Linked DNA regions of Macaca fascicularis. The protein of the gene in region 1 interacts with the protein of each later gene in a pairwise test. Links are inferred from orthologs where the notes say so. Each region holds a gene or a part of one and is shown in the gene's direction. Other genes may lie near its edges.

Region 1 (4,254 bases):
AAGCAGCATGTGAGATTTGAGGCTGGGAAAGAAGGCAGTAGGCTCTAGGCAAGGGAGGCAGTCACTTAGGCCTGGAGCAAGGGGCCAGAGGTCTGGGCAGGCAACAGAGCCTCACAGAGCCCTCGCTACCCTATTTATGGGCCCCAAATCTGAAAGCAGTACACCACCTGCCCTCACGCCTAGGGTCTTCCTACAGGTGGAGCTGAAGAGCCAAGAGGCTCAGAGTCTACAGCAGCAGCGAGACCAGTACCTGGGACACCTGCAGCAGTATGTGGCCGCCTATCAGCAGCAGGTGGCCACCTATCAGCAGCTAACCTCTGAGAAGGAGGTGCTGCACAACCAGTTACTGCTGCAGACCCAGCTCGTGGACCAGCTGCAGCAGCAGGAAGCTCAGGGCAAAGCGGTAGCCGAGATGGCCCGCCAAGAGTTGCAGGAAGCCCAGGTGAGGGAGTTGCTGAGGGCAGGGCCCCGAGGGGGATGACCTGGCAACCTCCATGCCGTCTCACTCTCTTTCTTGGCCCCTTAGGAGCGCCTGGAATCTGTCACCCAGCAGAACCAGCAGCTACGGTCCCAATTGAGCCTCATGGCTCATCCTGGGGAAGGTACGGGAACCTGCTCACAGGAAGAGGAGAGAGCCCCAGGAGGAAGGGGGGACTGTTAGCAGTGTGGAATTGAGTTGGAAGAGACCTTTAGAACAGCTGGTCATTATGCCAACTGGGTGTCCACACTAAGTTCGGCATCATTATGGTGACTTCCTGGGAGCAGGGGACTAGCAGGTTGCCTAAGGATGGGTGAACTGGCCCAGGTCAGAAATGAAGCAGGTCAGAACTCCCATGCTGATCGGTAGTGGGACTGCACCTGGGCAGCATAGCGAGCTCTTGGCTCTTAAAAAAGAATAAAATAAAAAGCTGCTCATTCCCTTCTGGGGAGGGGCTGGCCCAGGGTTACACAGTGAGGGTGGGGGCAGAGGTGGGCACACTGTACCCTTGTTGGGTTGTCTGATGACCCCTCTGGCCACCCCCACAGGAGATGGACTGGACAGGGAGGAGGAGGAAGAAGAGGAGGAGGAGGTGGAGGCGGCGCCTCGGCCCATGCCAAGCATCCCGGAGGACCTGGAGAGCCGGGAAGCCATGGTAAGGCTGACTCCCCTCCCTGGCCTTTGCTGTCTCCCTCTGTGGTCCCTCCCAGACCCCCTTCTGCTCTTGGTTTCCCGGCCTTCTGATTTATTCAGACTCACCGCTTTCCTGGGAGCCAGTGGTCAGACGCCCATTTCACCTGGGACCAACAAGTGCAGCCTCTGAGGCCCCAAGGGAAGGGCTGCTCTCTACCTCCCTGCCTGTTCGTCCTATATATCCTCCTACAAGAACGCACCTCTCTTTCCTGCAGGTGGCATTTTTCAACTCAGCTGTAGCCAGTGCCGAGGAGGAGCAGGCAAGGCTACGTGGGCAGCTGAAGGAGCAAAGGGTGCGCTGCCGGCGCCTGGCTCACCTGCTGGCCTTGGCCCAGAAGGAGCCTGAGGTGGCAGCCCCGGCCCCAGGGACTGGGGGCGATTCTGTGTGTGGGGAAACCCACCGGGCCCTGCAGGGGGCCATGGAGAAGCTGCAGGTGAATGAGTCTCTCCTGGCATGGGTCAAGAAGGGTGGGGGCGGGGCTGGTCGCTGCCAAGATGTGACTCCATTGTTTTGGTTCCAGAGCCGCTTTATGGAGCTCATGCAGGAGAAGGCGGACCTGAAGGAGAGGGTAGAGGAACTGGAACATCGCTGTATCCAGCTGTCTGGAGAGACAGACACCATTGGTGAGTGGGAGGCCAGGGCACGGCAGGAGGAGCTGCACAGTGGTCAGAGGGAACCCAGTATCTGAGCCCTGTCCTTCCGCAGGAGAGTACATCGCACTGTACCAGAGTCAGAGGGCAGTGCTGAAGGAGCGGCACCGGGAGAAGGAGGAGTATATCAGCAGGCTGGCCCAAGACAAGGAGGAGATGAAGGTAGGGCGTGGAACATCTCTGTGGGGGTGGAGGTGGGCACGGGCACAGGCATGGCAGCTTAGCACCCCTCCCTCCAGGTGAAGCTGCTGGAGTTGCAGGAGCTGGTCTTACGGCTTGTGGGCGACCGCAGCGAGTGGCATGGCAGATTCCTGGCAGCTGCCCAGAACCCTGCCCATGAGCCCGCTCCAGGGGCCCCAGCCCCCCAGGAGCTTGGGGCTGCCGACCAGCAGGGTGGTGAGTAGAGCCCTCGGGAGGGGTGGGCAGGCAGGAGCAAGGGAGGGCTTGCGTGGCGCTCAGAGCCCTGCCTCTCTCTCTCCAAAGATCTTTGCGAGGTGAGCCTCACCGGCAGCGCGGAGGCCGCCCAAGGAGAGGCCAGGGAGGGCTCTCCCCGTGACAACCCCACTGCACAGCAGATCATGCAGCTGCTTCGTGAGATGCAGAACCCCCGGGAGCGCCCAGGCTTGGGCAGCAACCCCTGCATTCCTTTTTTTTACCGGGCTGACGAGAACGATGAGGTGAAGATCACTGTCATCTAAAAGCCGGCCGCTGTCAGCAAAGCCTGAAGAAGGGGGGCTGGAGACCCTGCCCCCACTATATCCCTACCACCCCCTCAGTGACCCCTTTACCCTTCCAGTAGCAAGCATAGACCCCTGTCTAACGGGGGTAGACAGGTGCAGATGAGGTGAAGATCACTGTCATCTAAAAGCTGGCCACTAAACTTAAAAAAAAAATTAAAGTTATGGGATTAAAAGAAGTTATGGGATAAAGAAGGTTATGGGTAAGTTATGGTATAGAAGTTATGAAAAAAGGCCGGGCGTAGTGGCTCACACCTGTAATCCCAGCACTTTGGGAGTTCAGGAGGTCAGGAGTTCAGGACCAGCCTGGTCAACATGGTGAAACCGTGTTTCTACTAAAAATACAAAAATTAGCCAGGCATGGTGGCGTGTGCCTGTAATCCCAGCTACTCAGGAGGCTGAGGCAGGAGAGTCACTTGAACCCGGGAGGCGGAGGTTGCAGTGAGCTGAGATGGCGCCATTGCGCTCCAGCCTGGGCGACAGAATGAGACTCTGTCTCAAAAAAAAAAAAACAAAAAACACGGGATTAAAAAAAAAGTCAGGATAAAAATTTTAAAAAGCAGGCCACTGTCAGCAAAGCCTGGAGAAGTGGGGCCGGAGGCTCCGCCCCCATCATGTCCCTGCCACCCCTTCCCAGTCACCCCTTTACTCTTACAGTAGCAAATAAGACCCCTGTCTAATGGGGGGAGACAAATGTGTAGAGCCTTTGCCACCTTGGCCAGGGCTGATTCCTTAAATTTCTGGATGATGATGATTGTTATTTAATAGCCAGAGGCTCATAGAATTGACTTGTTTGGAGGAGGCCTGATGGCCTCCTTACTCTCACCAAAGCAATTTTTCCCTCAGGGGGGCTCCCATCTTCTTACACAGAGAGGCAGCTGAGGCAGGACAGTGGGGTTAACTGTAGACCAGGTGAGGGCACGGGCTGCTGGGGTGGCCCCGCTTCCCCAGTGTACATATTGTATCTGTGTAACATTTTGTATATTCCAGGGGTAGGGCAGCCCCCTGTATCATACCTAGCAGAGGTTGGAGCTGGCACATGGGGAGGAGGTTCTAATAATTATTTGGGGCTGGGAAACTTATTTATTGATAGCATAGGACAGAGGAAGGAGGCGGGGATGGGGTCGTGGCACCCTGGTGATGCAACTCCTGTTTATTTTGCTTTTTATTTCGGAATAAATGGATTTAGCCATACTGCTCCGCCTGGCGTGTTCCTGTTTCTCACTGGGTTCTGGAGTTTGTGCCACTGAACGGGGAGCCCCAGAGTGTCTGAGCCTGCGCATGTGGGCTGTTGGGACCTTCCAGGCCTGTTACCGGTATGCTGCCTGGTGACATCTAGGGGATTACACAGGGACTACCATGGTACCTATGGGGACAGTTCGGCCCTGACGGCCAACAGGCTCAGAAGCCTGATCTAGCGGTGGCCGGGAAGGCAGGGTGCCAGCACCCAAGGTGTCTTCTGTTCTGCCCTCCTGCCTCCCTCGCCTGCCTGAGCCTGGTGGCCTGTTCTGTCTGTCCCTCCCCAGAATGCTGGCCACCCCGCAGGCTCCCTCTAGACTGAGTTAATGGCCCTGCCCCCTAGTGGCCAGAGCCGGCTTCACAGGGTGAGAGCCAACTAAGCTCCAGGGACTTTCCAGGAAAAGTGTCCCTTGGAAAGGATGTGGTCTTTTTACCGCCCCCAACAGCACCCTAGTA
Region 2 (3,430 bases), on another chromosome or scaffold:
AAGATATATACTCACAGCGAGGACTCTAGACATGTTAAGACAATTTTTAAATGTGCTTTTGGCTTCGAGTGGCAATAATTAGACTCAACATATTTAAGAAGCTACTGATGAGAAGAAACCCTGGAAGCGCTGAAGGACCACATCAGCCCAGACCAAGGATGCTGAAGCAGCATCAAGGCCCTTGGTTTCAGAGGCTCCACCAATGACCCTTTTTTCATGGAGAGCCTGTAGGAGCGAGTTTTGTCTTTGCCCAGTGGGAATCTGTCTTCTATACTTGGAAAACAGGGTTACCCATGTTGCCCCTGCTACCCTTGGGTCATCTCAGAGACACTACCAGATATTACCTATGAGACCTAGTTGTTTTTTTTTTTAAATCTCAGGAAGGACTTGGGTGTGGCTTCCAACGTGGAGGACTCAGTAGCTTCAGAGAGGGTCCTGGGAGAAGGTGAATCGGAGAATAAGGGTGCTGGGCAGAGGGAAAAAGACATTATCATACAAGTTTGTGCTAAAAGATATAGCAATCCTTCTGCTATGGACTAAGTATGGAAAAAAATAAAATGGAATCAAAGTGACCCAAAGGAAATGTAAAACCCAAATTTATGCCCACTAAAGCATTAATGATGCTCTAAGTCCGCTGCCTACTTAAAAGGTTCATAGTTCACATGGGTTGACAGGAAATTACGTTAAGGACACGCTGCATTTCTCCTTTTCTTACAACCCCTCTGATTTGGTAGGGAGGGAGTCAATCATTTTTTATTGGAATTTCTCAGGATTCCAACCTCAGACATACACTTTACACATTTTCTTGGACAAGCCCGACTGTTCCTCTCACTCGTTCGCATAAAGCTCAAGTTTACACAGCCGCCCAGACCTTTCTCTGGGACGCTCATATTTAACTTAATTCTGGATATATCAGGTAAGCGTTTCCCAAGAAACTTGACCCCAACATCCCAAAAACTTAAGTTATCATCTTTCTCCTAAACTGGCCCCTTCTCCAGTACGCATCCATCGCACTCTTCTCCTGCCCTAGATCCCCTCAGCCCAAACGGGAAACCCCGGGATCGCTCTCTCCGCAGGTGAAGCTTAGCCAGGGACCCTCCCCGTCGGGGCTCCGCGCTGCCCCGCCCGCCCCCAGCCGCTGGCCAAGGCCGCAGTCGCGCAGGCGCAGTGCCGCGTCCCGCCGCCGCCCCGCCCTGCCCGCCGCTGCGGAAGGCGCCGCGCACAGCAACGCGCACTTCCTCTCCAGGAATCCGCGGAGGGAGCGCAGGCTTGAAGAGCTCCTGGACGCAGAGGCCCTGCCCTTGCCAGACGGCGCAGATATGTCAGAACAAAGTAAGGATCTAAGCGACCCTAACTTTGCAGCCGAGGCCCCCAGCTCCGAGGTGCACAGCAGCCCTGGGGTTCCGGAGGGGGTTCCTCCGTCCGAGACCCTGGCAGAGCCGCAGAGCCCTCCTTTAGGCCCGACGGCCGCCCCGCAGGCCGCGCAGCCTCCCCAGGCCCCGAGCGACGAGGACGACCCGAAGGCCCTGCAGCAGGCCGCGGAGGAGGGCCGCGCCCACCAGGCCCCGAGCGCGGCCCAGCCCGGCCCGGCCCCGCCAGCCCCGGCGCAGCTGGTGCAGAAGGCGCACGAGCTCATGTGGTACGTGCTGGTCAAGGACCAGAAGAAGATGATCATCTGGTTTCCAGACATGGTGAAAGATGTCATCGGCAGCTACAAGAAGTGGTGCAGGAGCATCCTCCGGCGCACCAGCCTCATCCTCGCCCGGGTGTTCGGGCTGCACCTGAGGCTAACCAGCCTGCACACCATGGAGTTTGCGCTGGTCAAAGCGCTGGAGCCCGAGGAGCTGGACAGGGTGGCGCTGAGCAACCGCATGCCCATGACAGGTCTCCTCCTCATGATCCTGAGCCTCATCTACGTGAAGGGCCGCGGCGCCAGAGAGAGCGCGGTCTGGAACGTGCTCCGCATCCTGGGGCTGCGGCCCTGGAAGAAGCACTCCACCTTCGGGGACGTGCGGAAGCTCATCACTGAGGAGTTCGTCCAGCAGAATTACCTGAAGTACCAGCGCGTCCCGTACGTGGAGCCGCCCGAGTACGAGTTCTTCTGGGGCTCCCGGGCCAGCCGCGAAATCACCAAGCTGCAAATCATGGAGTTCCTGGCCAGGGTCTTTAAGAAAGACCCCCAGGCCTGGCCCTCCCGATACAGAGAGGCTCTAGAGGAGGCCAGAGCTCTGCGGGAGGCTAATCCCGCTGCCCACTGCCCTCGCAGCAGTGTCTCCGAGGACTAGCCAAGTCTGGAGGCAGATGAATGCTTTCTGATCCTCACCAGGGCTGTGGAAGGGTGGGGGTGGGTCATTAGAGTGTTCAGGATTTACAGTGCAGTATTCACGTGTAACTTTTACGTTTCCAGTACAGTGCTTTTATACCTTTAATGCAATGTTGTATTCATTTGGGTACTATTGTGTAGTATTTAGGATGTATGCATGTTTGTTTATATGTAAGCTTGGTTGGTGCTTTCGCTTTTGTGGTACCTTTCTTGGATTTTTGTATCAGAGACGTGCTAAACTGATGAAGTACATTGAGAACGTTTCCATCTTATTAATTTACATGGGACTGAGATGTGTGTTGGGGTAGACTGCTCCTGCAGAGTTTGGAAAAACTCACCAGCAAAGCCGGCCTAACCAAGAAATGTCAAGGCCCTCATGACCTTGCTGGGGACTGAAAACATCCTCGTGGCGTAAACTAATTTGAACTGGACTGGTCTCAATGTGAGAGCACTTGGCACACTTTACTAAACACATATACAACCCCACCGTGAGTCAACTTTAAAGTAAACATTAAAGATTCTTGTGATACAATCATTTCTGGAAGTGTACGTTATCATTTTAACAAAGCAGTATGGTTGGGAATGAGACAATTCTCTGTTTTACAGTATACACAGATATAACTGTTTCCCCTAATGGGGTGGGAAAAATCGCTACTCATGATTACTCCTAAATTTGTGAAGTTTGTGGTTTTGTCTTTAACTCATGTTTATTTCAAAAACATGCACAAATATAGAAAAGCATAAAAAACAAAACAGTAAGATTGTCCATAATCACATCCTATGGGAATAAAAACCAAAAATAATTTCCTTAAGTTTCTACATTTTATCAAAATTAATAGATGCTTTGTGGGCACTTAAAGAGTGAGACATTGTACATGAGCCCTGACGTGTATTTTTCTCCTTTTATCTAATCCTCACAACAGGCCTGTCAGGCAGGCAAGAACTGCCTCTGCACCATGGAGGAAACACAGGAATAATGTAGGTAATGGACTTTCCATAGCTCATACAGGTTAATAAGAGAAGGCGCTAGGACTAGAACTCACAATGAATCCAGAGTCCACATTTGTCCCCACCTGCCTTCAACTCCCCTACACCCTGTGGTTTTTA
Region 3 (4,286 bases), on another chromosome or scaffold:
GTGGTGGCAGTAGAGTTCCCACAAGGGAGTGCCCCACACCATGCTGAGATGGGGCTGGTTAGGATTCTACAGAAAGATTGAGCATGCCAGGGTAATGCGCCCAGAGCATTTATTAGCAGGGCTTTTGTACAGAGTGGGCTGCAGCAGTTCTTGCAACGGGTGGTGAGAGAAATGAATGTTCTCTCTAGGTATGTCCATGGGGAGGGGGTTGTCGAATGGAGTTTATATGAGGGTTTAAGGAATCTGGCTCAGGCTGGGTCCAGTTTCTTTCTGTGTTTTGAGCAACAACCTAGATGCTGTCATCTGTGCCTGGGAACGTTCATGGCTATGGCTCAGGTTCAAGTCTGCAGACGAAATTATACCGTTGGCGAGGTCACAGAGCGGCTAAGGGACTCTGTTTCTTGGTCACCACTGGGAATGAAAGTGGAAAGGTGAAGCAGGGGGATGCCACAACCTCCAAAATCAGGGTGCCCATCATGCTGAGGTTCTGGGAAGGGGTCTCTTCCAGACTACAGACTTCCCGCTGCCTTCGCACAGTGGAAAGCTGCACAAAGCTCTCGGGTCTCTTTTATGAAGGCTCTGTCGTCATGACCTAGTCACCTCCGAAGCACCAACGCCTTGGGTTGGGGATTTCACGTGGGAGTTAGGGTGCACATTCAGTTTACCACAGCAAGGATGGGACCAGTGCTCTGAGGGTGTCTGGGTAGCTGCTGGTTCATCCAGAAGTTTACTGGGTAATACTCAGAAATTCCACAAATCATTAGGGCATTACCTTGTTAAGCTCCCCATATGGAATCGCGGCTGGCAGTGACCAATTGGCGGTGTTAGCTAGGCGCATCCTGTGTGTTTTCTTTTTTTATGAGACAGGGTCTCGTTCACTCGCTCAGGTTGGAGCGCAGTGGCGCGATCTCCTGGGCTCAAGAGATCCTCCCGCCTCAGCCTCAAAGCGTTGGACTACAGGCGCGCAAGCAAGCGCGCGCCTGGCCCATTTTAACTTTTTTTTTTTTTTTTTTTTTTGAGACAGAGTCTCGCTCTGTCGCCCAGGCTGGAGTGCAGTGGCGCGATCTCGGCTCACTGCAACCCCGCCTCCCGGTTCAAGTAATTCTCCTGCCTCAGCCTCCTGGGTAGCTGGGATTACAAGTGTGCACCACCACACCCGGCTAATTTTTGTATTTTAGTAGAGACGGGGTTTCACCATGTTGGCTAGGCTAGTCTGGAATTCCCGACCTCAAGCGATCCGCCTGCCTGGGCCTCCCAAAGTGCTGCGGGAGCCACAGCGCCCAGGCCGGTTTTAACCATTTTTAAACGTACAGTTCAGAGGCGTTCCCGCGCTGGGCAGGATAGGCGCAGTGCGCAGGCGCCCAAAGCCTGCTTGAAGGTGACGCGCGGGAGCACAGAGCCGGGGCGGTGCGCTGCGCAGGCGCGCGGGGCGAAGCCGGGTGGGCGCCGGGTGACGTCACGGCGCGCGACGCGAAGGCGGGGTCGGGCCTGGGTCCTACGGTAGTGGGTACAGAGGGTCCGGGGTTGCGGGTCGCAGGCCGCAGGCCCCAGGCAACTGCCTCCCGGGCGCCATGTTCGGTTCCAGTCGCGGAGGCGTGCGCGGCGGGCAGGACCAGTTCAACTGGGAGGACGTGAAGACTGACAAGCAGCGGGAGAACTACCTGGGTCCGTGGGCGCGGTGGGCGCGGTGGGCGCGGCGGGCGGCCTCCCGGGGGGCGCTGGGCTCACGGCGCCTACGTCCGCAGGCAACTCGCTGATGGCGCCCGTAGGCCGCTGGCAGAAGGGCCGCGACCTCACCTGGTACGCCAAGGGCCGGGCGCCGTGCGCGGGCCCGAGCCGCGAGGAGGAACTGGCAGCAGTGCGGGAGGCGGAGCGGGAGGCGCTGCTGGCCGCCCTGTGAGTGTCCGCGGACATCAGCGGTCGGTGCTTGGGACTTCGCTGCCGGGGCAGGGTGGGGCCAGGGGCGGGGGCTGGGGGTCGGGCTGGGCGGGGGCGGGGCTGCGGGGACTTGCGCGGGTGGGACCCTCAGGATGAAGGCTGGAGTGGTGAGGACCCGTGGTGGGAGGAGGTCTGTCCGTCCTGACGCCTGCTCTGGTCCTCTCGCAGTGGCTACAAGAACGTGAAGAAGCAGCCCACGGGCCTGAGCAAGGAGGTAACTCCCTGGAGTGGGGGGCACGTGGAGGGCCGTGGGTGTGGGGCCGTCCGGAACGCTGCCTGTGCTCCCGCACCTGCAGGATTTCGCGGAGGTCTGCAAGCGGGAAGGAGGCGACCCCGAGGAGAAGGGCGTGGACCGGCTGCTGGGGCTGGGGAGCGCCAGGTGCGAGCAGGTTTCCAGGGGAGGGCAGAATTGCTCGGGTGAGGCGGGCCCTTGACGGACTGTCTTCATCGCCGTGTTCCTGCAGTGGCTCCGTGGGCCGCGTGGCGATGTCCCGAGAGGACAAGGAAGCCGCCAAACTGGGGCTGTCTGTGTTCACGGTAATTCCCCGCCCCGCCTGACCGCAACAGGGGCCAACAGGGGTGGCGCAGGGCGGGGGCACTGAACGTAGCTCCCCGGGGCACTGCGGGGCGTGGTGTGGGGCCGGCCCTCAGACTCTTCCCCAGAGCGCGATTCTCCCGCAGCATCACCGCGTAGAGAGCGGCGGGCCCGGGACCTCGGCAACCTCGGCCAGGAGGAAGCCGCGGGCGGAGGATCAGACGGAAAGCAGGTGAGGCTGCACCTACTGGGCGAGCTGCGCGCCGGAGGGGGTCTCGGGAGGACCTCAGCGGCTCCCGCTCCGGCAGGTGGCAGCTTCTCTTGGCGCACCGGCCCGGCCGGTGGCCTGCCCTACTTTACTTCCTGTCCCACTTACTCCTAGGTTTTTCTCTAGGGGAGTTTCTCGGGTCACCCTTGAAGAGAGGTCCTAAGTACTGGCAGTGGTCGCGGGCTGCGCCGTGGGAGGGCGCTCAGGACCTGCGGCGGGGCCTTTTCCTTCCATGGGTGGCACCTCCAGGGCTTCTCTTGGGTGGTGAGCCTGGGCCTGACCCCAAGAGTGGCCTGGTGGGTGCAAGTAGGAAGGTGTCAACCTGTCAAGGGCACAGCTGGGGTGTAACAGGGCCGTGCTGTGGAGATAGGGATATCGCATCAGTTTCTAACCCAGGGCAGCCACTGGCCACGTGACTGCATTACTGAGGAGTGGAATTGGTAGTCTGATTTAACTGATTTAAAGACGCACTTGTGGGTGGTGGCTTCATCTCCTGGTTGGGGTCTGTGTTCACTCTCTTGGCCTGCAAGACTAGGGTCTGAGGTGCGCCTTGTATCCTCCTTGTAGCTCTGAGAGCCACAGGAAAAGCAAGAAGGAGAAGAAGAAAAAGAAAAAGAAGAAACACAAGAAAGAGAAGAAGAAGAAAGACAAAGAGCACAGGCAGCCAGCTGAGGCTGCCTCCTCTCCCACATCTCCCGAGAGGTATGCCCTGGTCTATGTCTGCCTCTTGTGGGTGGGAGCCTGGTTGACTCCTTCTGAGTGACTGCCCTTGGTCTCCCCAGGCCCAGGCACCACCACGACTCCTATTCCAACTCCCCCTGTTGTAAGAGGAGGAAGCGGGGACACAGTGGGGACAGGAGAAGTCCGTCTCGCAGGTGGCATGACAGAGGCTCTGAGGCCTGATGGCTGGACCCTGCTCACTGCTATTGTGGGACCCTGAACTCTCCCTTTGCCTTGCTTGCCTCCTGCCTCGGAAGCCCCTCGTGTGTGGGTGAAGCCCGGGGCTGCTCCTGTGGAAGTGGCTCTGGGCACCAGCCTGTGGGGCTAATGGCTAGACAGCTAGCTCTGGAAAACCTCCAGGTTTCACATAGCGGGGATGGTCCCTGGCTTGCCCTGTGAAGGTGAACCTGCCCAGAGGTACCAGTAGAAGCTGGACTCCCTCTGCCAGTAGAGACAGCAGCCATGGGCCTATGAGCGGTCTAACTGTGGCCAAGTATGGTGACCTCTATTTTTCCTTACATTGACTCTTTGTATTTCAATAAATATATTTTAAAAGGAAGGTGTATCATCCTAATTGGAAGGTCAGTGTCAAGAGTTAAATGAGATCCCACTGGGAGGTTGGAGCTGGGGTCTGTCTTCCAGGAGTCTGAGGCCTGGTGATTTTTTTTTTTTTTTTTTAGTTTCGCTTTTGTTTCCCAGGCTGGAGTGTAATGGCACTATCTCAGCTCACTGCAACCTCTGCCTCCCAGGTTCAAGCGATTCTCCTGTCAACCTCCTGAGTAGCTGGAATTACAGGCGCCTGCCACTACTCCCAGCTAATTTTTG
Region 4 (4,340 bases), on another chromosome or scaffold:
TTAAGACGCGAGTCTGCCGATGCTCCCGGCCAAATAAAAAAACCTCTTCCTTCTTTAATCCGGTGTCTGAGGAGTTTTGTCTGCGGCTCGTCCTGCTACATTGGTCCCTGAAGGACAGGTAGAAATGGAGGGAACCTTCCAAAAGAAGAATATATAAGTAAATGCATGAATAGCCAAGTGTCTAAAAGCAGACTTTGGGATTTGAAAGTTTGGGGGGGAAATCCCAGGCCCACTAGCTGTATCATCTTAACCAATTTACTTAACTTCTTTAAACTTAAGTTTAAATTTTAAAAAATCTAGATAATAATGTCTGCCTTTCTGGGGGTCTTGAGGATTGAATGAAATCATATAAAACACAATCTCTCAATCAAGAAAAACAATCACCAATAAAGCAGTAAACATCAGTCATTCTTGGCAACCAGTAGTAGTTAACTTTGCCAGTGTTGGTGAATTTGGGAGAATAGCCTGGGAAAATAAATTCAGATCAGACCAAGGTAGGTATTTAAAGATTATGAGTTTGGAAGAAAATAGGCAATAGAGTTATCAAAGTTTGTGTGGGAGGAGAGAATGAGAGGGGGAATGAGAAGGGGAAAGGGAGAGAAGTTCGGGGGGAGAGAGGGAGGAGAGAACGAGACGGGAAAAGTGAGAGAAGTGTGGGGGAGAAAGGGAGGGAGAGAGCCAAAAAGAGAGAGGGAGAAAAAGGAAAAGAGTTAGCCGGACCTGGTGGCTCGTGCCTGTAGTCCCAGCTACTCTACTCGGGAGGCTGAGGCAAGAGAATTGCTCGAACCCAGGCGGCGGAGGTTGGCAGTGAGCCAACTTCATGCCACGGCACTCCAGCCTGAGCCACAGAGCCAGACTCCGTCTCAAAAAAAAAAAAAAAAAAAAAAGAAATAAAAAAAAAAGGGAAGAGGGAGAAGGGTAGAAGGATTGCTATAGGGAATGGTCAGAACTAAGCAAGTTACTCAGTATTTCTTTGTAACTCATTGATGTTATGTTTATTGTCTAGCACTCTCATTACACTTTGAGCCTCATAAGAATACGAAACATGTCCATTTTATTCTCCACTATATATACAGAGCCTTGCACAATCCTTGGCACACAGTGACTACTTGATAAATATTTATTGAATGAATCATGATAAGGAGGAGAGGGAACCAAAAAAATAAAGATTCCGAGAATTCAAGATAGGCGACTGGGAGAATACAAAAGTTTGGAAGTGCAGAGGAAATAATGAGTTTAAATTTTGCACGTACAAGTTTAAGAAGCCTATAGTGCACTCGTGTTCATGTTTAGCAAAATTCATATGTGTAACTGGACCTCAGATAAGCGGTGCGGGCTTGGGATAGGTTGTTAAGATTCATTAGCATACGGGTAGCAATTTACATCACCCTGAAGAAGGGAGGCTTTAAAAGGGGGGATGCACCGGAAGTGACGCCAGTCAGAGGTTAGGTTAGCGGAAAACGGAAGCAGAGTGGCCGAGAAGCAGCTTCCGTTAGCACTACCTTAAAAGGAAAAGAGCCAGATAAAGAGAAAGGTTAAAAGTATGAGAAAGTGCAGAAGCCACTGGTCTCAGGGAGACAGAGAAAGACACCAAAGAAGAAGTCACTATTATGAGGGACCACACACCAGCCACTCAAGGTAAAACTACAACATCTAATTAATTTGCCATTTAAATCAGAAGTCGTTGGCGGCTTTGGGATGAGAGGTTTTTAAGGGGTGTTGGGGAGCAAAGCCAGATTGCCGTGATAGTTATATTGCTTGAGTTTGAATCTCAACTAGTCTGTTACCGTAGGCAGATTCACTCCATCTTAGCTGTAAAATGAAGATTATAAAATAATAGCAATTACCTCAGCATTGTTATAATAAGTGGATATATGTAAAACTGATTAGAAAAGCACCTTACATACAGTCAGCGCTTCACATTTTAGTTATTGTTAGAATACTTTGCAGAATAAATAGCCCTTAAAAGGTGGTGAATGGCACTGTGAACTTAATTTTTGTTGGTGTCTGCAAGACATTGTAAAATGCCAGAATGGGGAAACTAGATGAACTTTTCCTGTTGAATATGGCTAGGTTAAAATGAAACAGTAATTTTAGGCATACTGCCAAAACATAGTAATTCAGTGAGGGTGATCCTTCCAGAATGTTCCAGAATGCTAAATTGTTCACTATTCATGCACGCCTTTCCCCAAGCTCCGCCCATTTATCCTATAGGCTACGGAATAGGAGGTCTCGCATTTCGAATTGGTCTCCAGAGGACTTTGGCTCCGCCTCCTGGGGCAAAAAAAGTCCCTGTAATTGAACACTTTCATTTTTGCTTGTCCCCAGGCTTGTCGGTAGAAAACTAAGGGACTTTCCTTTTGAGTATCATGTTTACAAAAGCGAAGTGGTTTTTAAATTTTAAACTAAGTAAGTATCAAACAAGTAGATAAGGCGGATGGGAGGGATCTGCAGGAACTGAAGGGCGGTGGAACTTAAGGTTGGAACATCGGTGTGCTTTTAACGACGGACCGAGCTACTTCCGGGAGAGAATGGGAGGGTGGAAAATTCTGTGCGTTTGGCGGGTTTCGCTCTCTTCATAAGTATTGATCATTCCGCAGCTGTGGGGGCCGGACACGTGAGGAGGTAGTGACGCCGCCACTGCCGGAACACGCTGCTGCAGGCTCCCCGATGGCCATGTCTGTGGTGAGTGCTTGGGCTGTGGCAGGTCTGCTGGGCGCCGGACTCCAGTGGCTGATTGGAGGGACTCCGGGGCGGTCTGGTTGCTGCTCACGTGGATAGGTGACGAATCACGGCCCGGCTCTCTGTACTGCGGGGCGGGGCCCACGTTTTGCTGCCCGCCTTGCCGGCCCCAACCCCGCCTGTTTTGCTGTCGCTTTCTGGTCCCGGAAAGGACCCTGAGCTGCGAAATAGCGAGAGGCGGGGGTTTGGGGTTTGTTGTTTATGGCTTGCAGTCTCTTTTTCTCGATTATCTTCCTCTCTAAAAATCACTTTCAGTTACCTGACAAACTGGCGATTCATTGTTCTTAATTCTGTAATAGACTGGGCCCCGTAAATGAATGAGAAGGAAGGTATTCCTTAATTCTCCGGCACGAACGCCAACAGCGTTGCTTTCTTCGGTTTCACGGTTCTTATGCAAACAGCAGTGAAAGTTCACGTAATGTGGGAAAGTTTCCTAAGTGGAGCTGCCAGTTTTTCAAGTAGTTGAACTACTTTGGGGTGTGTGTGTGTGTGTGTGTGTGTGTGTGTGTTCCGTTCAACAACTTTGGAGTTTGGCCCTAACATCTCACTTGGAAAAGAGAAAACACTTGCCTAGCTTATTCAGTGGCAGTTTTCGCCGCTCGCTCTCCTTTTCTAAGGGTCAGGTGGTGTCATTTTCATTGCCGTGAATGTTTGTAAAATATTGAAAGTCTAAAGTACTTAGTTGCCAAGAAAAGATTATAAATTTATATGTAGAGACTGAAAAAGACTCAGATTCATTGAGAAGATTATGTCCTAAAGACATGCACTTAAAGTTAGTGAAAAATTTTAAAATTGCAAACTTTAGAGTCCAGCCTTTAAAATGTCTGAATTTATATGAAAGAATGTGGACTATATATAGAACTACATGGTGGTTGAAATAAATCATCAGCTTCTGTCAGTGGTTTTGTGTTTGTGAGGGGTTGAAACGGTTGGTAATCTATACTTCCGGAATTTTTCTTGTAGGATTTTAAAACTTATGTAGATCAGGCATGTAGAGCTGCTGAGGAGTTTGTCAATATTTACTATGAGACAATGGATAAAAGAAGACGGGTGAGTGTTATAGACTCTACTACTGTTTTTAGACTACTACTTGTTATTAAATACCAGGTCGTGTCTGGAGCCAGCGTTTCATCTGCCTTGCATAAGTGGTAACTGTGGACTTACCCTTTAAAAGCAAATTGCTCAGGGAAGGATTGGTATGGCATTCATGGGAACATGGGCTCTGGAATCATATCCCAGGTTTACCTTTACCTAGTTTTTTAACCTGGAGCAAGCTGTCATTTTCCCTCAACCTCATTTTCTTTTCAGGTTGGTAAGTATGAATTAATTAAAATACCGCACTTAACATTGGGCCCAGCATATATTCACTTAAATATGTTTCCTTTTCTTAGTTCCATCAGTTAACCAATATGGTTAAGGTAGTATTAGTGCTAATGGAGGGGTCGGTCATTACCGGGAATATTTCCTGATTCGTCCCTTTTATTTCATATATTTATAGGTAATTTCTGATTATGGTTCAGAAGTATAGCTTACACCCACAAAAAGTATGCATGTAGCATGGATAATATTAAGTCCTCAGCAGATCGAGATTTCATCAG
Region 5 (4,039 bases), on another chromosome or scaffold:
CATGCAAATACTTCTAATACAAAGGTAAGTACCTTAGGGATTCCACTAATTTTCATAAAAAACCTGGATCCCTCCCAACCCTACGACTGTCTTTGCCTTTTTTATACCTTTAGGGTTCCTTCTGATGTTTTCGTTGTCGCCATCTTCCTTGAATTTTATTTCTTCTGAGGTTTCTCACTGCGTATGCTGTTTCTTAGACTAGGAAAGCCTTTTCGTTATTCTCCTAAGACTAACATTTTACTAATTTGTCAAGGTCTAGCTCCTAAATACGCCATCTTGAATTTTCCCTGCGACCCCAGTCGGGCTGACAGCTCCTTCCTTGTCGCTCCCTATTGAGCAGGTTTTTCTTGTGGGGGGGGGGGGCGGGGAGGCGGAGGGACGGAGTGTCGCTCGGTCGACAGGCTGGAGTGCAGTGGCGCGATCTCGGCTCACTGCAACCTCCACCTCCCGGGTTCAAGCGATTCTCCTGCCTCATCCTCCCCACTAGCTGAGACTTCCGGCGCGCGCCACCACGCCCAGCTAATTTTTGTATTTTTAGTAGAGACCAGGTTTCAACTTGTTGGCCAGGATGGTCTTGATCTCCTGATCTCGTGATCCGCTCGCCTAGGCCTCCCAAAGTGTCGGGATTACAGGCGTGAGCCACCGCGCCCGGCCAGAACAGTTTTAACCTCCAGCAATGGCCATTGCTTCCTTCTGCCTGCAGTTGGAAGTCAGTTTCGGTTTTCTTATTCCCTGTAAGGAACCCCCCTCTCCCGTCGCCTAACACACAGATGCTGCCCAGAAAACGTGCTGGCGCACCTAAGGCGGGGTGGAAAGCCGCGTCGCTTCTCCCGGCACCGAGCGCCGGAGCCCAGGGAGGCGGCCTCCGAGTGTCCTGTTGGAACGTCCCTTCCGCCGGGTAGTCTCAGAGGCCCAGCGCTCCAATGATCCCGGGTGCAGTCTCCCCAGGCGGCACAAGCCCTGCCTGGCGCCCCCTCCTGGCGCTGGAGGCTGCGTGCGACTGCCCACCATCGAGGCGGCGGCGGCTAGAGAGGCCGGCGGGCCCGGGACGCCGAGGCTGCAGGCCGCAGGGAACGCGCACGGGGCCGACTCCGCGCCGCCGGCCTTGTAGCCATTTTAGGAGGAATCGCTGATCGCCAGCGAGGGGTGCGGCTTCAATTTCAATAACTTTATTGGTGGCCTGATCTGCAGAACAGTCATCACTTCAGTGGTCCCTGGAGGAGGGAGCGCATCGCCCGAGGTGACTGGCGTGGGGGCGCCCCTGGCAGTGAGCGCGGGGACGCGGGGGAGTCCCGATAGCGGGTTTCCTGACTAGGGGCAGCGAGGGCACCGGGGTATTTGCAGGCATTCCCGCAGGCCAGGAGGGAGAAGGCTCCGGGGCTTGGCTTCCCTGGGGCGGGGAAATCTCTTGCCCTGTCCCAAGGCGTATGGGCGGGGCCGGGGGGCGCCCCTGACGCGGCTACTGAGGTGTTCCCAGCCCGGTGTGGTTCTCCGCGGTAGGTGGTCCCCGACGAGCTGCAGCCATGGGAAACACCACCAGCGACCGGGTGTCCGGGGAGCGCCACGGTGCCAAGGCTGCACGCTCCGAGGGCGCAGGCGGTCATGCCCCGGGGAAGGAGCACAAGATCATGGTGGGCAGTACGGACGACCCCAGCGTGTTCAGCCTCCCCGACTCCAAGGTAAGCGTCCCACGCCCGCAGTTGGTGGCAGTACTGCAGCGGGTTGATTTCCGGGCTCCTCTTCCCTTTCTTGGTTCTTTTCTGCCGCGCGGAACCGGGCTATGGTTTTTTGAATTAAAAGGATTTTTCGGGGACAGAGGTGTTGGATGGTAATCCCTCTTGCAGTGCCGCCTCAAAATAGGATAAAGAGGCGGAGTTCTTGTTTTCCTGGTGTTCTGACTAATCTGTTGGCCACATTTTTAGGATGGGGACAATAGACATCCCCGATCCTTGGTTCTTCCTAACATGCACGAGTGGCTCTCCTCTATAGCGTTGCTGAATTTGTAGTTTGTTAGCCCTGGTGGACAACTTCAGAGGGTAGGTTGCACGAGTTGCTGACCATAGGTGGTAGTTTCTCACCTTTGCCCTGAGGTGGCTACATGAAATTCTTTTTCTGAAAATTTCTATGTATCAGTATCATTTTTGCCCTCCTAGCAGCTCTGCACTTGTGATCTTCTTCCCTTTTGGCACGGCTGTAAGCAGCAACTACTTGCTTATTGAATAATTTCCCCTAGTCTTGGGGATCAATTAAGGACATCATTTGGTTGACTGCTTAATTTTTGTCCCATACTTTATAGTTGTGGTGGCTGAGGCTGTGCCTCTTTCACGCCCCGCTGCTGCTCCGCAGGTGGAAGAGCCAATGATTCCACGACTTGTTTACTCTCCAGTAGTACTTCAAAATGTTGCGTGGCTAAAAAGCGACAATCCATAGCTGCCTTGAAGACCTTGCTCTCAATTCCAAGGACTTTCAGGAAGAGCCAACTTGTTTTTTCACTCTGTAAGAAAGGACAGATGGAGCTGATAGCAGCGATTACCATTCTAATGTTTCTAATCGCTTTTAGAGCTGTCAGCATGAAATACATGTAGTTTCTCCAGGTAGACTGACTGGATGAGATAGAAAAATGGAGGGCTTGAGGAGATTGGGGTGTGTTTGATGTTTCCTATCATTTCGTCACTTCCCAGGGAACTGGGGCTTTAGAGAGTGAATAGAGTATTATTTGTCATATTGGTAGCACGTGGAATTTGGATTCCATGATTTATTTCCTTGGATCTCAATTGATAACATCGTCACAGCCGGGCGCGGTGGATCACGCCTGTAATCCCAGCACTTTGGGAGGCCGAGGCCGTTGGATCATTTGAGGTCAGGAGTTCGAGACCAGCCTGACCAACATGGTGAAACCCCGTCTCTACTAAAAATACAAAAAAATTAGCTGGGCGTGGTGGTGCATGCCTGTAGTCCCAGCTACTCGGGAGGCTGAGGCAGGAGAATCGCTTGAACCTGGGAGGTGGTGGCTGCAGTGAGTGGAGATCCAGTCACTGCACTCCAGCCTGGGCCACAGAGTGAGACTCTCAAAAGAAAAAAAAAAAAAAAAACAAACCATAATCACAGAGAAGTGAGAAGTGAGAGTGATTAAAAGGAGCACTTATTGGTGTTTATTCTCCATTCTTATTTGGGCTATCTACAAGCCATCTGAATTTACGTATTCAAAGCTTTCGAAAGATGATCTGCCTCATTATATTTTTACCCTTTTCCTACGCTGATGACTCAGGATTTAAATACAGTGTATTTGTTGAACTGTGACTGCAGTAATTGGTGTCCTGATTAAAAGCCAGGTTGCTCTGTCTGAACTGGGGCCTATTTTGTATTATTCTTATCTCTCACATCAGTCTTGGCATTTGTGAATTAAGAAAATTATTCATATAATTTTCAGATTGTCTGAAAATTAGTTCAGATAATTCCTAAGGTCTCATTTAAATCTAATATTTTATAGTTCTCAATCTACCCTCTTTACTTCTAACCTCAACATTTTACTTAAACATCAAACTGTAGTTCTAATTGTTGTTTTGCCTCTTTTCTTGGTAGTTTTGCTGAGTAACTTGGAGTAAATAATCTTTCTGCTCGTCAGCCGCATTCATTCCTACTACAGAAATGTCATGTCATAAGTGGAAGGGCTTTCCTCCAAGGCTAGGCATATTAATAGTTTGTAGCTTTCAAATTCTAAACTGAAAATCCTGTCATAAAAGTAACTGATAGAAACAGTGGTAGGGGGGCCTACTTTGCTTGAATGCCTGCCTTTTTCAGTGGACTAGCTCAGTGGTTCTCAATCCTGTTTGCACATTAGAATCACCTCAGATTTCTTTACATACTTTTTGGAAATTTTTAAACATTGTCAAAGTAGGGGGAAACAATATAATGACATCTATATACGTGCCACCCAGTTTGAACAATGATCAGATCTTGAATGAACATATAACATCTATACCCCAGTCCACTATTCCCCCACTAGTTATTTTGAAGCAGATTCCCAGACGTTATATCA
Region 6 (3,586 bases), on another chromosome or scaffold:
ATTGTGTTTACATTGTTTAAATAAAATTTCTAACTTTTAACCTTGTTTTTATAGTATGTGTATATAAGCTTTCTTTTTTCCTCTTCCCATTTACAATAGATCGCTTGGGCTTTAAACAAAGGTGTAAAAACAGAATACAAACAATTCTGGGATGTGGATCTTGGAGTTACATATATACCATGGGAAAAAGTTAAAGTGGATGACTTGGAAGGTTTTGCAGAAGGAGGCATGATTGATCAGGAGACTGTAAATACTGGTAAGAATTTTAAGGTCTTTTTATTGTTAAAAAAAGTATGGTTAGAAGGTTGTAGCCGAAATGAATTTGGGGTGATAGCATTAACTGTGTATCCTGGATTCATCTCCCAAAAAAGAGAAAAGATACATTCCTGTGCCCTAGTGTACATGCTTAATGGGACCTATTTCATAGATGTCAAAGTATAGATTAGAAAGTGTGGAAGTCTATATAAATGTAGCATTTTTAAATGTATGAGTTTTTTTTTTTTCCATTTTTATACTTGAGAGTTGTGTGTAGGAGGGATTTTTAAAACTAAATATTTGTGATTGCTTCAGTTTAAGTGGGAACTTGGGAAGTTTCTTTGAAACACTTTGCAGATTATTTTGAGTAGTATCCATGTTGAAAATAGCAGGAATAGAATCTTAGTTTAGGGAGGTTCAGATTCATACAATGTTAAATACTTTCTGGGATGCCTTTTACAATACCAAATGATCATCCAGCCTGCTTTTTTTTTTTTCCCCCAAAAATTGTCTTTTTATTTTAAAAGATTTCAGTTAAAAATTGACAAAATGATTTGCAGTTATAACCAATAGGAAATCTAAACATTTGAAAAAGAACTGGAATGTATATACACACCTTTTTTCTTCACACCTTAGCTCGTTTATCAGAATTAGCTAATTTTCCGAATATTTGTTTCTCAGACCAATGCAAAATTTTGAACCATTTTTGTTTCTATTAAATTCTTCCTGTCAGGCCTACTCTTCACCCCACCCGCGCCAATGGCTGCTTATTCCAGTATCTTCACTTAGTAAATATTTTACTTTGTACTGTGTATCAGGCCTAATTTTAGGAACTGGAATTATAGCAGTGAGATAAATAGACAAAAATTCTTCCTCTTGTAGAGTGTAGCGCAGAGGTCAGCAACCTACTATCCATGGTCCAAATCCTGTTGGTAGCCTGTTCTGTAAAGTTTTATTGAAACACAGCCATGCTCACTTGTTTACCTATTTTATATTACTTTTTTTTTTTTTTGCAATAACAGTTCAACACTTGCAGCAGAGAACACATGGCCCATAAAGCCTCAAATGCTATAAAGTTTACTAGCGCATGTTTCACACATTATCTGTGAAGAAAACAGATAAACAAAATAGATAAATAATATAGTACTTTAGTGTCAGTAAGTTCAAAGAAAAAAAATCAGGGAAGGGAGATGGGCAATGTGGGCGTGGAGGTGTTGCAGTTTTTATGTGCTTGTAGAAGATCTAATGGAGATGAGATATTTGGAAGTGTAAGGCATGCAGCCATCTGGGGAAAGAGCATTCTATACGGAGGGAACAGCAAGTGCCATGTTTGTATTCAAAAATAAGGAGACCAGTATAGCTTGTGCAGAGTGAGTGAGGAAGGAGTAGTAGGAGATCAAGGCAGATAGGCACAGAGGGGCAAAGTCATATAAATCTTGATCTTTACTTTGAATGAGATGGAGAAGCATGAGAGAGGAACCATTAGAGCTTCTTTGTTCTCTTTTTGCATAGCTGTGTTTTCAGAAGGATTTCATTGTATTGGATTAATACTCTTCTAGTTGGTCTTCCTTTGTTGTATTTTGTGATTAAAAAATTGAATATGGTTAGTTCCTCTTATATCAGCCAGCCATTGAGATATACGTGTCTATTATATCCCTTCTAAGTGTTTTCTTTAGATGAAATATTTTAGTGTCTTTCCTTTGTGTCTCAAGTGTCATGGTTTTTTGAACTCCATAGTATCCTAATCAGATTATTCTGGGCAGAAGTCTAGAGTGGCACCTACAGTTTTGGGTATATCTTAAAGATGTGCCAAGGTAGATGAAGAATTTAGATGTGAAATAAATGAATACAAAGAAGAAAATGAAAAGTTGCACCTATCCAAAGGAAATCAATTTCAAATATTTTGTTTAGAGTGGGAAACTGTGAAAAGCTCAGAACCTGTTAAAGAGACGGTCCAGACAACTCAGAGCCCAACTCCAGTTGAAAAGGAGACAGTGGTCACAACCCAGGCAGAGGTTTTCCCTCCTCCTGTTGCTATGTTGCAGGTTAGTGTTGAAGTGGGTCTGTTTTTTTTTTTTTTTTCCTTAATGTGTTCTTTTACATTTCTGTTTTTAATCATGTATTTACTTTATCAAACCGGAATGAAAATCTCCATATCAGAATAAATGGTTGTCAGTAGTTTTAGGGAAAAGAATATTTCTTTTAAATCTCTTGGAAAAAAAAAAAAGTCTGCTAATGCTGTGGTATCATTGTGCTTAACACATTAAAATAAAGATAAATATGGAAATATTGTTTCTGAGAACTCACAGGATTTTTTTAGATTCATGTTTTTCTGAGGAGTCAAATTGATAGAACAGTAAGTTATTTTAATGAGTTTAATCAAATACTTTTTGAAAAATTATTTTTAGAAATGATGTCATTCGTATTTAAATATGTTTATTGAACAAATATTTATTGAGTACTGGCTCTGTGACACTCTTCTAGGTATCAGTGAAAAACCCCCACAAATCTCTGCCCTTTTGGAGCTTTTATTCTCAATAGTGGTGACAGAAAATGTAAAATAAATATGATTATGAGATCCTATGGAAGGAAAAAGGTAGCATAAGGCTGATCTATTTTAAATAGAATGGTGAGGATAGACCTAATTGAAAATGAGAAATTTGAGCAATGACTTAAAAGCACTAAGGGAATTAACCATGTGGATATCTGATGAAGAACATTCTGTTCAGAGGCAACAACCAGTGCAAAGGTCCCACACCAGGAATATGTTGGTGTGGTCCAGGAGTGTTAAGTGGGCTAGAATAAAGCCAGTGAAAGGCAAGTTAGTTGAAGATAAATCTTTCTAAGGACTTTGGCTTTCACTTGGAATGAGATGAGGATGGTGGGTCTTTACATGTGACAAAAAGAGAGAGAGATGAGGAGCCATTGGAGGATTCTGAGCAGAGGAGTGACTTGATCTGGCTTACAGTTTTAAAGAATTGCACTGGTTACTACTTTGAGACTAGGCTGTAGTGAGCTTTGAGTAGGGAGACCAGTTAAAAGACAGTTGTAGCAATCCAGATGAGAGCTGGTGATGGCTCAGAATAGACTTCTGGAGTGTCTGTTGCACTGGAGGTAATGAGAAAATAGTGGAGGTAATGAGAAATGGTCAGATACTAGGTGTATTTTGAAGGTGTTGTAACTAACAGGACTTTTCCTAGTGTGATTGGATTTGGGATTATTATGAGCAAAAGCAGAGGCAAGGTTTTTAGTCCAAGAAATTGGAAAGATAGAGTTACCATTAACTGAGACTGGGAAAGACTGTGAGAAGAGTTCTTTTGGGAAGGATGAC
Region 7 (3,586 bases), on another chromosome or scaffold:
AAACAATCAGACAGTACGAGATGACATAGCATGTAAGTGCTTATTTGTCTATCTAAAAATAACTGCTACTTTCGTGTTCTGTCAGTGTATGAAACTTGCATATTAGTCTTGTAGAATATTTTTGTTCACTTGAGATACCTCATATTTTATTTATAAATTCTAGTTAAATCATATTAAGATATCTTCAAATGTTATTATGGTGCTAGATTGTTGGAAGGAGAAGAAAAAGAACAAGTTGTCCTTATACAACCTTTTTTCTGTTTATTTTTCAGATCAATAACCCGATCTTATTACCGCAACTCAGTTGGTGGATTTTTAGTATTTGACATTACCAACCGGCGATCTTTTGAACATGTGAAAGATTGGCTAGAAGAAGCAAAAATGTATGTACAGCCGTTTCGGATTGTATTTCTGCTAGTGGGACATAAATGTGATTTAGCTTCACAACGTCAAGTTACAAGGGAAGAAGCTGAAAAACTGTCAGCAGACTGTGGAATGAAGTATATAGAAACCTCAGCAAAGGATGCTACAAATGTTGAAGAATCCTTCACAATCTTGACAAGAGACATATATGAACTTATTAAAAAGGGAGAAATTTGTATTCAGGATGGCTGGGAAGGGGTTAAAAGTGGTTTTGTTCCAAATACTGTGCATTCTTCTGAGGAAGCAGTAAAGCCCAGGAAAGAGTGCTTCTGCTGACTTCAAACGTGCCAAAGAACTCACAGGAACAGATTGGCTGTCATTTCAGGATAAATACCAACATTAACAGCAGAATGATGCAATAAAAGCATTTAAAAAGGTTACAAACCCACACCAATACTATTTTGTAAGGTATTTGATTCAGAGCGCTATGCTTACTTGTTACACTACTAGACTGGGTATTTTGCTAAATTGTCAAGCAAAGCAGACAACCTTTTTCTTGAAAGTACCTCCATTCTCACTTCGTTAGCATATGCTGACCTTAGTGTCCAGCTATGTCAATATTACTCATTTTTCTTGACAGTTCAAATGGATTTTTGTGAATATATAATCAATTGAAAAGATTTTATTAGGAATTACATTCTCTTGAGTTAATTAATATTGAATAGCAAAATGCATTTAAATATGTACTGTTCACCTGCAGAATAAACAATCTCAGAAGTATCGACTAGGACGTAAATAGCAGTTCCTTGTATAAGGTACCAGGTTTTCTCCCCATTGTCTGGAAATGTTTGCCCTCCCTTAATTTTGCCTCAACACAAGAAAATAAGTTTTATGTTCATTTTTGTTCTCTAATTTATTGCTTCTAAAAATGCATTATGTTTTACAAATATATCTAAAGGATCCAAGCACACTATTTTAAGCAAATATTTGTAAAATTAAAAACAGAGGACCGCTCACCAAATGTTTGAAATGTTGATTTTTTTTTTTTTTTTTTTTTTTGAGACAGGATCTTGTTTTGTCACCCAAGCTGGAGTGCAGTGGGGCAATCTTGGCTCCCTGCAACCTCTGCTTCCTGGGTTCAGGTGATTGTCAGTACCTTACCTCAGCCTCCTGAGTAGCTGGAACTGCAGATGTGCACCACCATGCCCGGCTAATTTTTGTATTTTTAGTAGACACGGGATTTTTCCATGTTCCCCAGGCTGGTCTCCAACTCCTGGCCTCAAGCAATTCGCCCACCTCAGCCTCCAAAGTGCTGCTGTGCCCGGCCTATCAGCAGCAAATGTTTTGCTGTTACAGTGTACTGTTCATATTTAGACAAGAAAAACTAAATTTATTTATGTATTGACATTTTCAAAGAAAGTAAATGCAATTTGCCTTGAACTATTGTCAAAATTATTAATATAGGTAAACATAGAATGTTTTTAATAATAGCATTTTTGTCCAAGTAAATTTCCAAATTTCCTCATTTCCAATATGAAAAGAATGCAGAAAAGATTTTTCTGTGCAAGGAATATTGGTTAGATGTTTGATATATTTAGCCTTCATATTGCATTTTACAATCTCATCAGTACAAGTGAAGATAGAATAATCAATTAAGACAGTAAAATGACTTTTGAGTTTCCTAACTTTTAACTTATTGATTAAACTCTCCTGGAAGGGATATTTTGATCATAGTGTCAAATATTTTATAATGTACATTTCTATTCTGTCCTGTACACTTCTTAATCACAAAAGAGTACCAAGTGAAGTTTTTTGGAGTCATAAAGTTTTTACTCTTAACCTTTAATTGCTTCATTTGTTTGAAAACCAAAGGGGCATAGTAGAAAGAATATTTGATAAGAAACCAGAAAACTTGGTTACCAATATCTAACCATGAGTAAGTCACTTGACCTCTCTAAGAACCATTTTTCTTATTTGTAAAATTAGGCTAATAACCCATTAGTGTGTTTCATGGAAAATTATTTTGAGAATCTAGTGAATCATGCAACAAACGCTTTGTAAATAGAGTAAGCATTTTACAGATTTGAGAATGATATGCTGCTCATGGGCATACTATTATATTTGCAACGGGTGAGAATTTTGTTTTCTCATAATTTTTCCTTTCATTCCTATACAGAGGGAGTAGAAAAAGATGTGTGTTTTCGTGGACCCGTAGGAATTCTTGATTGATGCATATCCTCTAGCTTATTTTGTGGGGGCGGGGGAGGAGAGGGAGGGATCTCGTTCTGTTGACCAGGGTGGAGTGCAGTGGCATGATCAGCTCACTGCATCCTGGACCTCCCAGTCTCTAGCGAGCCTCCCACTTTAGCCTCCTGCTAGCTGGGACCACAGGTACACGCCACCACGCCTGGCTAATTTTTTATTTTTTGTAGAGAAGGGTCTCCCTGTGTTGCCCAGAGTATAGGTCTCGTACTCCAGGGCACAAGCGATCCCTCCACCTCGGCTTCACAAAGTGCTGGAATTACAGGCATGAGCCCCCGCGCCAGCTTCCTCTGTTTTTTTTTACCCTTGAGCTATTGTTCCCGCGAAGTGGAAATAATAGAGAGGGACGTTCCTGCAGTCTTAACCCAATCAAAAGTCACGTTTGTACTTTTTGTGCATCTTTGAAATAGATGTTTAATTGTAGTTTCAAATACTTGTACCTTTTCTGAGTTCATGTATTTTTAATTGTGCTTATGGAGAGAATATAAATTATAACTATATACGGTATCACTATTTATATTGTCAGCATTTTCTTGATATCCTTAAGTTAATTTCACATGACTTCAAACCATAATTAACCAAATGAGAAAATACTTGTCCCCCAAAATGTGAAGTAGTCCATTTTACTATTACAGTTTTCAATCTTATATGACAATTTCCCATCGGTCCAAAATGGCATAAACCCAAACACTGAAAATCTAACAGCAGCTGAAAGTACAGTCACCTGTGCCTACTTCTAAAGTTAAATAGCTAAAACATAAAATGTGATTTAAATTTCAGTGGACGCCCTTTATAATTCTAATGTCGGGAGGGACTAATATTTGGGCTGAAGGATATCATGTGTTCCAAGATTTAAAACAGAACTAAAGAACTAGAATAAAAACAGGAAGGCAGGGTCCAAAATTCAAGGCGTGAACAGAAGGAAGCCTAGAACTCATCTCCTAGCACCTTATTCACCACG

Evidence for each region.
Region 2: the proteins of GOLGA2 (region 1) and NDN interact in a two-hybrid assay, tested with the Homo sapiens proteins (2 studies listed by BioGRID and IntAct). The link is inferred for Macaca fascicularis from reciprocal best matches to the Homo sapiens genes GOLGA2 and NDN.
Region 3: the proteins of GOLGA2 (region 1) and C1H1orf35 interact in binary tests that used the Homo sapiens proteins (3 or more experiments, as listed by UniProt). The two-hybrid records come from large-scale screens. The link is inferred for Macaca fascicularis from reciprocal best matches to the Homo sapiens genes GOLGA2 and C1orf35.
Region 4: the proteins of GOLGA2 (region 1) and NXT2 interact in binary tests that used the Homo sapiens proteins (3 or more experiments, as listed by UniProt). The two-hybrid records come from large-scale screens. The link is inferred for Macaca fascicularis from reciprocal best matches to the Homo sapiens genes GOLGA2 and NXT2.
Region 5: the proteins of GOLGA2 (region 1) and PRKAB2 interact in binary tests that used the Homo sapiens proteins (3 or more experiments, as listed by UniProt). The link is inferred for Macaca fascicularis from reciprocal best matches to the Homo sapiens genes GOLGA2 and PRKAB2.
Region 6: the proteins of GOLGA2 (region 1) and SCAF8 interact in binary tests that used the Homo sapiens proteins (3 or more experiments, as listed by UniProt). The two-hybrid records come from large-scale screens. The link is inferred for Macaca fascicularis from reciprocal best matches to the Homo sapiens genes GOLGA2 and SCAF8.
Region 7: the proteins of GOLGA2 (region 1) and RAB39A interact in binary tests that used the Homo sapiens proteins (3 or more experiments, as listed by UniProt). The two-hybrid records come from large-scale screens. The link is inferred for Macaca fascicularis from reciprocal best matches to the Homo sapiens genes GOLGA2 and RAB39A.

Annotation. Positions count from the first base shown.
Region 1 is NC_088389.1:15,723,247-15,727,500, forward strand, and holds the end of GOLGA2 (golgin subfamily A member 2), read left to right. Parts: intron 1-196; coding exon 197-442; intron 443-526; coding exon 527-602; intron 603-1,026; coding exon 1,027-1,133; intron 1,134-1,386; coding exon 1,387-1,605; intron 1,606-1,692; coding exon 1,693-1,795; intron 1,796-1,877; coding exon 1,878-1,984; intron 1,985-2,061; coding exon 2,062-2,218; intron 2,219-2,305; coding exon 2,306-2,520; 3' UTR 2,521-3,753; downstream 3,754-4,254. UniProt on the Homo sapiens protein: Peripheral membrane component of the cis-Golgi stack that acts as a membrane skeleton that maintains the structure of the Golgi apparatus, and as a vesicle thether that facilitates vesicle fusion to the Golgi membrane.
Region 2 is NC_088381.1:5,296,543-5,299,972, forward strand, and holds NDN (necdin), read left to right. Parts: upstream 1-1,231; 5' UTR 1,232-1,319; coding exon 1,320-2,285; 3' UTR 2,286-2,858; downstream 2,859-3,430. UniProt on the Homo sapiens protein: Growth suppressor that facilitates the entry of the cell into cell cycle arrest.
Region 3 is NC_088375.1:86,009,762-86,014,047, reverse strand, and holds C1H1orf35 (multiple myeloma tumor-associated protein 2), read left to right. Parts: upstream 1-1,472; 5' UTR 1,473-1,571; coding exon 1,572-1,665; intron 1,666-1,745; coding exon 1,746-1,896; intron 1,897-2,106; coding exon 2,107-2,152; exon of another isoform or gene 2,153-2,234; coding exon 2,235-2,317; intron 2,318-2,402; coding exon 2,403-2,475; intron 2,476-2,619; coding exon 2,620-2,705; exon of another isoform or gene 2,706-3,005; intron 3,006-3,308; coding exon 3,309-3,443; intron 3,444-3,523; coding exon 3,524-3,644; 3' UTR 3,645-4,020; downstream 4,021-4,286.
Region 4 is NC_088395.1:116,105,013-116,109,352, forward strand, and holds the start of NXT2 (NTF2-related export protein 2), read left to right. Parts: upstream 1-1,520; 5' UTR 1,521-1,543; coding exon 1,544-1,638; intron 1,639-2,300; exon of another isoform or gene 2,301-2,409; intron 2,410-2,600; coding exon 2,601-2,685; exon of another isoform or gene 2,686-2,781; intron 2,782-2,863; exon of another isoform or gene 2,864-3,059; coding exon of another isoform or gene 3,060-3,071; intron 3,072-3,705; coding exon 3,706-3,792; intron 3,793-4,340. UniProt on the Homo sapiens protein: Regulator of protein export for NES-containing proteins. Also plays a role in mRNA nuclear export.
Region 5 is NC_088375.1:113,062,468-113,066,506, forward strand, and holds the start of PRKAB2 (5'-AMP-activated protein kinase subunit beta-2), read left to right. Parts: upstream 1-1,194; 5' UTR 1,195-1,240; exon of another isoform or gene 1,241-1,500; 5' UTR 1,501-1,523; coding exon 1,524-1,679; intron 1,680-4,039. UniProt on the Homo sapiens protein: Non-catalytic subunit of AMP-activated protein kinase (AMPK), an energy sensor protein kinase that plays a key role in regulating cellular energy metabolism.
Region 6 is NC_088378.1:63,117,851-63,121,436, forward strand, and holds part of SCAF8 (SR-related and CTD-associated factor 8), read left to right. Parts: intron 1-99; coding exon 100-256; intron 257-2,166; coding exon 2,167-2,300; intron 2,301-3,586. UniProt on the Homo sapiens protein: Anti-terminator protein required to prevent early mRNA termination during transcription. Together with SCAF4, acts by suppressing the use of early, alternative poly(A) sites, thereby preventing the accumulation of non-functional truncated proteins.
Region 7 is NC_088388.1:106,968,722-106,972,307, forward strand, and holds part of RAB39A (ras-related protein Rab-39A), read left to right. Parts: intron 1-272; coding exon 273-699; 3' UTR 700-3,586. UniProt on the Homo sapiens protein: The small GTPases Rab are key regulators of intracellular membrane trafficking, from the formation of transport vesicles to their fusion with membranes.